Linked DNA regions of Sus scrofa. Each later gene encodes a partner of the first gene's protein in a complex. Links are inferred from orthologs where the notes say so. Each region holds a gene or a part of one and is shown on either strand. Other genes may lie near its edges. The genes, in order: SYMPK and SSU72.

Region 1 (3,806 bases):
GGAAGGACAGCTCATAAATGGCAACAGTGATGAGTCTGTAGGCATGAGTTCACAGAATCCCTCCAACAAGCTCGGGGGACTGAATTATCTTCCCTGTTTTTACTGAGGGTGCATGTCCACAGAGTGAGCAAGTGAGAGGCAGAAGGAGAGCCCAGGTCTGTCGGATCCTAGGCTTTTCACTCAGGGCAACCCTGCTGTCTTCTCCTGAGCAGACGGATGTGTGGGCCACCCGCAAGCCACAGAGCTGCTGGGCCTGGGGTGACAACCCTTAGAGCTTAGCAGACACCGAGGAGGAGCTATCGGGGGAAGGGCTGATTTGGGGGTTTAGCCCTGCCCATGCGTGGGCAGAGCCTGGTGGGCTCAGGGGCCTCACCGGCTGTTCGATGACCCTTAGCACAGTCCTCTTGATGTCGGCGATGGCCTCCGTGTATACGGCTGCCAGCTCGTGGATGAGCTTGTGGTTCTGAGGCAGGAGAGCCAGGTAGAGGTACAAACACTGCTTTACTGTCTCCTCGGTCCAGGGCGCTGCCACCTCTGGTAAGGCAGGAGGTGAAGATCAGGTGAGGCCTGCTCCCCTCCCACCCTCAGGGTCTGGTCCTTCTTGGGAGGCAGGCACAGGAGGGAGCTGAGCTGGGAAGCAAAAGTCCCCAGGGCAGGAAGCCTGTCCTCTAGGAGGTGGGGGTGGAAGCGGGACGGCTCCCCTTCCGCAAGTCTCGGCACTCAGTGCCCACCTTGTCTCCTCTGACCACCAGTCCACGAGGCAGCCAGAGAGATCTTCCTAAGTGCAGTTCTGACCCTGTCCCTCTCCTGTTCAGTGCTCCCACAACTGTCCTGTGCTCTCAGGACAAGCCCCCAGATCCTCGCCCTGCTCTACCTGACAGGTCCTGGTCAGGGCAGCCCTGCCTCTGGGGCCCTGCACTCTGGTCACACCCCACTTCAGACAGACCCCAAGGCCTCCACTTTGGAGCCTCTACACGTGCTGCTGTCACCAAGAACACTGCCGCCCAACTCCTCTTGTGGTGCCTCCTCATCCTCTGGGTCTCACACCCTCTGGGTTCCCAACACTCAGGCTGCTCCAGGGCTCCTGTGCTCCTAGAAGGCCCCGTGCTTCCTGCCACAGCCTCCAATTTATGGTCCATCCTCTTGGGGCCAGAGTCTCCCCATCTGGCACACGGAGGACCCAGAGCTCTGCTGAGTGAGTGGGCCTGATATGATCCTGCCTGGAGCTGCATCACTGGCAAGCTGTCCTTGTCCTCGGCTTTCACCCAGCTGTCCCCACACCTCCAGGACCCTCTCCCTGACCCATCAGGCTGGGCCAGGCACCCCCTCTGGGCTCCCACAGACCCCTGATTTTGCCACCCAAAGCCTGCTTGTTTCGGTTACTGCTGTCTAGCTGTCTTCTCTAGCAGGCTCTGACCCCAGGGCCCAGTCCAGAGCCTGGGACGCAGCAGGTGCTCAACACACCCCTGAAGAACCTGTACCAAACCTGTGTCTTTGTCGGCTCCAAACAGCACAGATGGTGGGTTGGGGTGGACCAAGAGCTGCAGGTAGTTGAGGGCAAACTTCTCCACATACTCTCGCAGCTGCTCCTTCTCGTACATGCGCTTGATGAACAGCAAGGCTTGGGAACGTACCTGAGGAGAGAGGAGGGCAAGGTGGTGGAGGGGGCAACAGCTGTCCTGAGCTTGGCAGCCAGTGTGAAAACAAGCCCAAGTCTGAGGAAGGCCTGGCCTAGCTGAGTTACCTGTGCCCAAGACTGGCTTGGGAGGGAGGTTTCCTGGCCCAGCTGAGGGCCCTGCATCACCTCGCCATCTACTTGCCTGGCTCCATTCTTATCACGTCTGGCCCTGCTTGCCCTGCTCCAACCAGGAGCTTTCCTCAGTTCCTCACAAGTGGCGGCCTTCTCCCTGGCACTGAGACTTGGCACACAAAGTTCCCACTGCCTGGACTGCCTGTCGCTGGCTATATCCTGCTGGGAGCCAAGAGGACAGAGCCTGGTCTGGGGCATTGCTTTGTTCCCAGCAGCACCCCAGGGCCGAGCCAGAGTGTGCAGTCAGGGTCTGCTGAATGAACGGACACAAGACACCAGAAAGGAGCGGGTTGAAGGCAGGAGCAGGGATGGTCGCGGGCCCTCTCCATCACACCGAGGCACATCTGACCAGGGCGCAGCCATCTACTCCTACTGCAGGTCTTGGCTCACACGTCCCGACTCCGGGAGGCTTCCTTAAACCACCCCCTCCCCAACCCCCTCGCCAGGGCTTTGCAGTCACACACTACTCCACTCCTGGCACTGAACACATGGTGTCTGCTGGTAGGTCACACTGGCTCCTCCCAGGTCCCAGCACAGTGGGGCCTTAAGAGGGGCGTACAACACAGGCAGAATAAGAGCGAGAACGGGCCTGCCCTGCTTGGGGTGTGAGTATATATATGTGTGTACCTTCTAAGCAGCTTCACGCCATCATAAATGGAAAAACCACCACCACCACCAAAAGACTGTTGTAAGATGCACATTAAGCCCAGAAAGTTTCAGGGGAGTGTGGAAAAGGCTGGGCTGGTTACTCGGGACAGAGGAAGGACTGAGTGGAGCACAGCACAGGGCGGTGGGGGATCACCTTGTCCTTCTCATGCGAGCTGAGGTCTAGCAGGACGTGCAGGTACTGGAACTGACGGGATGGGCGCTTGAAGATCAGGTCTCGAAGAGTGGACATGCCCAGGTAGGTGCGGCTCTGCGGCAGGAAGGAGGGGAACCAGAGCTCAAGGCCCCTGCAGGGCACCACTGGGAGGTCTCCCCTGCCTCAGCCAGACCTGGGACTGGACCAGAGCATCCGGTCCCTCCCAGAACCCCCTGCCTGTACCATGATGCTCGGAGTGGCGGGAGATCTGCCGCCTGTCCTCACCTCATCCTCACAGTACTTGCGAATCACCTCCAGGGCACTCTCCGTGATGAGTGGCGCCTCCAGCACGACCTTGGTGAAGATCCTGCCAGAGAGGGGGGGTAGGGAACGGCTGGCTTCCCTATCCTGCTGATCATAGCTCAGAACTGAAAGTGCCCCCCTCCAACAGCTTGCTCAACCCCCTGGATACAGAGCTCTGGAAGCAACAGAGCAGGGTTCAGACACTGCCAGGTGGGTGTCCTGGGCAGAGACGACCTCTTGGAAACTCAGTTGCTCCCATTTTTCAAATGGAGATTCCTAGCTTGTTTAATATAGCAATGGGAGGGGATGACGGGAGGCTGTTCTTTGAGATGTGGTGACCAGAAAAGGCTGCTTGGAGATAACAGTTGTCAATGCTGGCAAAGGAGAAAGAGCCAGCCACGGAAGAAGTAGGGGGAGAGCATTCCAGGTAGAGCAGAGTGAGTCTATCAGAGGAACAGGAGACTGAAGGCCAGCGAGCTAAAGTTCGGGGGCAGTGAAATGCAGGGAGGCAAAAAAGAGGCTGAAGAGGTTGGCGTGGACTGGATTATACACGGTCTCATAGGACACAGTAAGGAGGTGCATTTTAGCTGAGGACAATGGAAGGTTTTTAGTGGGGAAATAACAAGACACGGTTTACATTTATAAAGTGTCACCTGAGCTGCTATGTGGAGAATGAATAAGCTGGAAATCCAGGACACGGAGGAAGCTACAGAACCGATGTGGGCAAGAGGTGGGGATGGTGAGAAGTCAACCTCGGGAACCAGCCTCCAAAGCAGACGCTGTTACTCGTCATGTATTATATGAGAAAATGGAGGCTCAGAGGGTAAGTGACACAGGTCAGAGAGCAAGCAGCAGAGCCAGAGAACAAGCCCGGGGCACAGGGCTCCAAGC
Region 2 (4,311 bases), about 12 Mb from region 1:
ATGGGCCGGGAAACGGGACTGCCCAGCATGGGTCGCGGAGAGATGCGGCCGGAGGAACGGCCAGTAGGGCCGGTGTTCGTAGGGCGCGCTGGGCCAGGGCGGAGGCCCTAACTACCTGAGGATGTTGTGCGCCTCCATGCTCCGGTTCTGGTTGCTCGAGCACACCACCGCCACCCGCAACGGCGACGACGGCATTGCGGTAGCCGCACCGTCCGCGACTCCCGCCTCCGAGCTCCCACCCAGCGGCGCCGCTTCCGCGCGAGGAAGATGGCGACCTCGGTGCCCGGAAGTCATGACGCGCAAAAGGCGACGCCGGCGACGTAGCGCGTCGGGATGTGCGGCACGGACGTACGCAAGGCGTCCCGGCGGCCTCCCCACGCCGGCCGGGAGCGCTGGGCAGCGGACGGAGGGAGGCCCCGCCCCGCGGGCGCCCGGCCGGCTGGCGAGCTCGCCTCTTCTCTGTGCATGAACCACAGAGGCCAGCGCCCCGCACAGGAGTCGCCGTCCGGCCCAGCCCCGCGCACCGGCGACCCGACGTCGTCACGAGCCGCCGCAGTCGCCGGGAATGACGCGAAGGCACCGCCCCAGCTCAGATGATGTCACGAGCGCCGTCGCCGGGAATGACGCAAAAGGCGCTGGCCTGCTGGGACGGCCGTTGGAAGTGGCAGGTTCCGGGCAGCGTCTTCCAGGATGGCTTTGCGCGCTTCCGCCTGCCCCTGGCGACGCCCCTTGTTCTCGCTCCTGCCACCCGAGCCGCCGTGTCTCCCTTTTCTGCTCTGCCGAAGACTCTACGAAGTCTGACCTTTAAATGAAGTCGTGGAAGTGTTTGGAGAGGTGGTTAGGTGCTTTGAGAAGACCTCCCCGGTTAGGAGAGCAAGTCGATTGAAATCCTGGGGCTTGTTTGGAGGCCCTGCGGGTTTGAGATACGGGGTTGTAATTTGACCGAGAAACTAGGCAACCCGGTTTTGTTCTCCAGCCACTTGGAGTGGCCAATGAGTTGGTCTTCTGGTATGTGCAGCAAAAGGAGGGGGCGAGGGAATGGCGGTGCTCCGACGTGGATCCAGGCTGGCTGAGAAGTGAGGACACGAAGGGACGGTGGCAGTGGAAAGGTACCGTGTGCGCTGAACTGGAGATCCCAGTGGAGTGGAAGAAATGTCGCTGGGGCCAGAGGGTGGTAGAGCGGGATGCTTGAAACTGGGTGTAGAGGGAGCTGCCTTCTGAATGCCTGGAGGCTAGGCGTAACCGTAGGCACCGATGGTAGCAGATGGTAGCAGACCGTCTCGCTGTTGGAGAGGGGAAAGCTCTGAAGCCGGGGCAGTGAAGGACCATCTTCACTGATAGTCGGTTGTCCTAACATTGCTCCGGATGTTTTCATGGAGAGAAAGGTTGAGGACCAGGCACTCAGACTGTTTAAGTCAGGACCCTTGGGCCTGGTGTGAGGGAGGCCGGTGCAGGATTATAGCAAGGAAGTGTTTACTTGGAAGGACTTGGGGGTGTGAGGGATGAGTGAGGACCAATGAGGGCGTCCTCCCCTCCCACTCTCTGTATTTAAACACACACAGAACGCAACGTCCAGAGGGACCTACCCTGGAATGTGGCAGTGGGACCGCAACCCTAATGGCCTAGGGTTAAGGGTGCTTTATACTTATAAAGAATGCTCTTTATACCTTTTTGAATTCCTTGACTTTGTATGTTATGATGGACGTGTATTTTCTCTAACAACAACAACAAACAATAGAGGTGTTTACATTTGGAAAACAAGACGCCTCCATGGCCTCCCCAGTGTGCTCAGAAGGCATAACCTGAATTCAAAGACATTATGGCCTCACCACACCAGTACTGATCAGTACTGACCATTCCAATACCAATATAGTAGCTGTCCTACCTCACCTCTCCCTACCTCCTGTGTAGAACTTAACGTCCGCCAACTGAAAATTGCTTGTCGGTGCCTTACCTCTGTGTGTGCCCCCCAGACCTCAACTCAGTCCAAGTACTGAGATCAGATAGATGCCGCCCACTTCAAGAAAGCTCACCCATGTCCTCCTCTGCCCGCACTGGCCTTTCTGTCCTGGCTAGGGACCTTCTCTCTGGCGCTCTGTGCTGCTCTGCCCCACTGCATGCACAGACTCTGAGCTCAGAAGGGCTCAGGCCCCATTCCCAGGCGAGATGGTTTTGTTGCCTTATGTCCAGTGCATTGAGAAACGTCTCAGGAGTTCCTAAGTGGGTTAAGGACCCACTTGGCTTAATGCCCAGGAGTAGGGTGATTAGAGCATATGTTTAGGTGTACTTTTAACTTTCTAAGAAACTGCCAAATTGTTTTCAAAGCAAATGTACTGTCTCACATTCCCGTGTGCAGTGTCCCACTTTCTCTACATCCTTGATGGCACTTGATGTGATTAGTCTTTTTAGTTTTAAATTTTTTAAGATCAATTTGTGTGTGTGTGTGTGTGTGTGTGTGTATTTCACAAGTATAATTTTGGAAGGGCTGTTTGACAAATTTATGCATTACTGCCAAATCTGTAGACATGCTCACCACCACCACTAACAAAAACACACATTTGCTCTTGGCTTTTTTAAAACACGTAAGTATGGGGAGTTCCTGTTGTGGCGCAGCGGAAATGAATCCGACTAGGAACCACGAGGTTGCAGGTTCAATCGCTGGCCTCGCTCAGTGGGTTGAGGATCTGGCGTTGCCCTGAGCTGTGATGTAGGTCACAGACGCCGCTCAGATCTGGTGTTGCTGTGGCTGTGGCGTAGGCCAGCAGCAACAGTTCCGATTAGACCCCTAGCCTGGGAACCATATGCCGAGGGTGCAGCCCTAAAAAGACAAAAGACAAAAAAAAAAAAAAAAAAAACAAAAAAAAACAGGCAAGCGTCCCATTGCATCACACACAGAGATGCGGTAACAGATCTGAGAACATAATTAAACAGTTGATCTTTCTTTCACATGATGTGTACTTGATAACATAATAAAAATATAATTATTGGTTTACATGAGTATCAGTGATTTGCAGAATAAAACCCATAGACCATAGACCCACCAACTTTTAGGGGCAGAAACGAGTAAAAAGGTATTAAAAAATAGCATTTTGACGTTCCTGGTGTGGCTCAGCAGTACAAACCTGACTAGTATCCCTGAGGTTTCCAGTTTCATCCCAGGCCCCAACTGGTAGGTTAAGGATCTGGCATTGCCGGCAGCTGTAGTTCCGATTCAAACCCTGGCCTGGGAGGTTCCATATGCCACAGTGCGACCCTGAAAAAAGAAAATTAAAAATGGGTCTTAACCGTGGTATCCTGGGAAGGATCTGAAAAGATTGGTAATTCATCGGTCCTAGGTAACATTTAGTGAATGCCATGGGGGACTCAAGAAATAAGCAGGGTGCTGGGCGGTGGGGGTGGGGCAAGATAAGTGGGCAAGGAAAATGAAAAATGGAAGAGAAGTGTCTGAATTTGGGCAAGTGTGAAAAGGCCACCACAGAAACTGCTTTAGTTGCCGCACAGACGTTCTATACACGACCTGCTCCTGGACCACCGAACGCCCGGTGTGGAGGACGATTTAAGTAGAGCTCACATGTCAGCATTGAGAAAACCTCACTTATTTGCATCGAGAAAAACAACTTGTCTGATTTGTAAAAAGCGTCATTAAGTATTCAGAGGTAGAAGTTCCCGTCATGGCAAGTCGGTAACTCTAATTGTTTTAGTCAGATGTGGCCTTTAAATTTGAAATGTTTCTCCTGAAGAATTTTAAAAAATATTTTTGTTTGTCTTTTTAGGGCTGCACCTGTGGCATACGGAGGTTCCCAGGCTAGGGGTCGAATCAGAGCTGTAGCTGCTGGCCTACACCACAGCCACAGCAATGCAGGATCCAAGCCGAGTCTACGACCTACACCACAGCTCATGGCAACACTGGATCCTTAATCCATTAAGCAAGGCCAGGAATCAAACCTGTATCCTCATGGATACGAGTCAGATTCATTTCCGCTGAGCCAAGATGGGAACTCCATGAAGATATTCTAAAATAAGAGAAACTTATGTATCTGACTATGATAAAATATTTAAATAAGCCTAGAAAAAAAGAAATATTTCTCAAAACTGTCCTATCAAATAGGAGCTATTAGACATTAGCTATGAAACAGGTACTTTATTTCAGCCTTTAGCTAATTTTCATGAAATATTTGTTATCTCCAACTTCAGTTTATTCTTAAGTCATTTATAATAAGACAATGGGGACTTCCTGTCATGGTTCAGAGGCTAATGAATCCGACTAGGAACCATGAGGTTTCGGGTTTGATCCCTGCCCTTGCTCAGTGG

The links.
Region 2: the proteins of SYMPK (region 1) and SSU72 are in contact, whole or in part, in a crystal structure (PDB 4H3K), measured with the Homo sapiens proteins. The link is inferred for Sus scrofa from reciprocal best matches to the Homo sapiens genes SYMPK and SSU72. Residues at the interface, in NP_004810.2 of Homo sapiens: Val123, Lys127, Leu131, Gln135, Asp175, Asn176, Asp177, Gly178, Thr181, His182, Lys185, Glu188, Pro204, Arg205, Arg206, Gln207, Ser250, Ile251, Thr254, Thr255, Asn262, Ala290, Ser292, Gln293, Ser295, Ser296, Lys299, Asn300, Leu303, His304; in NP_054907.1 of Homo sapiens: Glu113, Tyr116, Asp117, Val120, Asn124, Glu127, Gln128, Glu129, Thr130, Cys131, Gln132, Pro133, His135, Asp167, Glu169, Asn170, Asp173, Gln177, Glu180, Thr186, Phe187, Leu188, His189, Thr190, Val191, Phe193.

Annotation. Positions count from the first base shown.
Region 1 is NC_010448.4:52,149,139-52,152,944, forward strand, and holds part of SYMPK (symplekin), read right to left. Parts: intron 2,980-3,806; coding exon 2,898-2,979; intron 2,727-2,897; coding exon 2,613-2,726; intron 1,635-2,612; coding exon 1,487-1,634; intron 535-1,486; coding exon 374-534; intron 1-373. UniProt on the Homo sapiens protein: Scaffold protein that functions as a component of a multimolecular complex involved in histone mRNA 3'-end processing. Specific component of the tight junction (TJ) plaque, but might not be an exclusively junctional component. May have a house-keeping rule.
Region 2 is NC_010448.4:63,754,631-63,758,941, forward strand, and holds the start of SSU72 (RNA polymerase II subunit A C-terminal domain phosphatase SSU72), read right to left. Parts: upstream 2,831-4,311; 5' UTR 295-2,830; coding exon 116-294; intron 1-115. UniProt on the Homo sapiens protein: Protein phosphatase that catalyzes the dephosphorylation of the C-terminal domain of RNA polymerase II. Plays a role in RNA processing and termination. Plays a role in pre-mRNA polyadenylation via its interaction with SYMPK.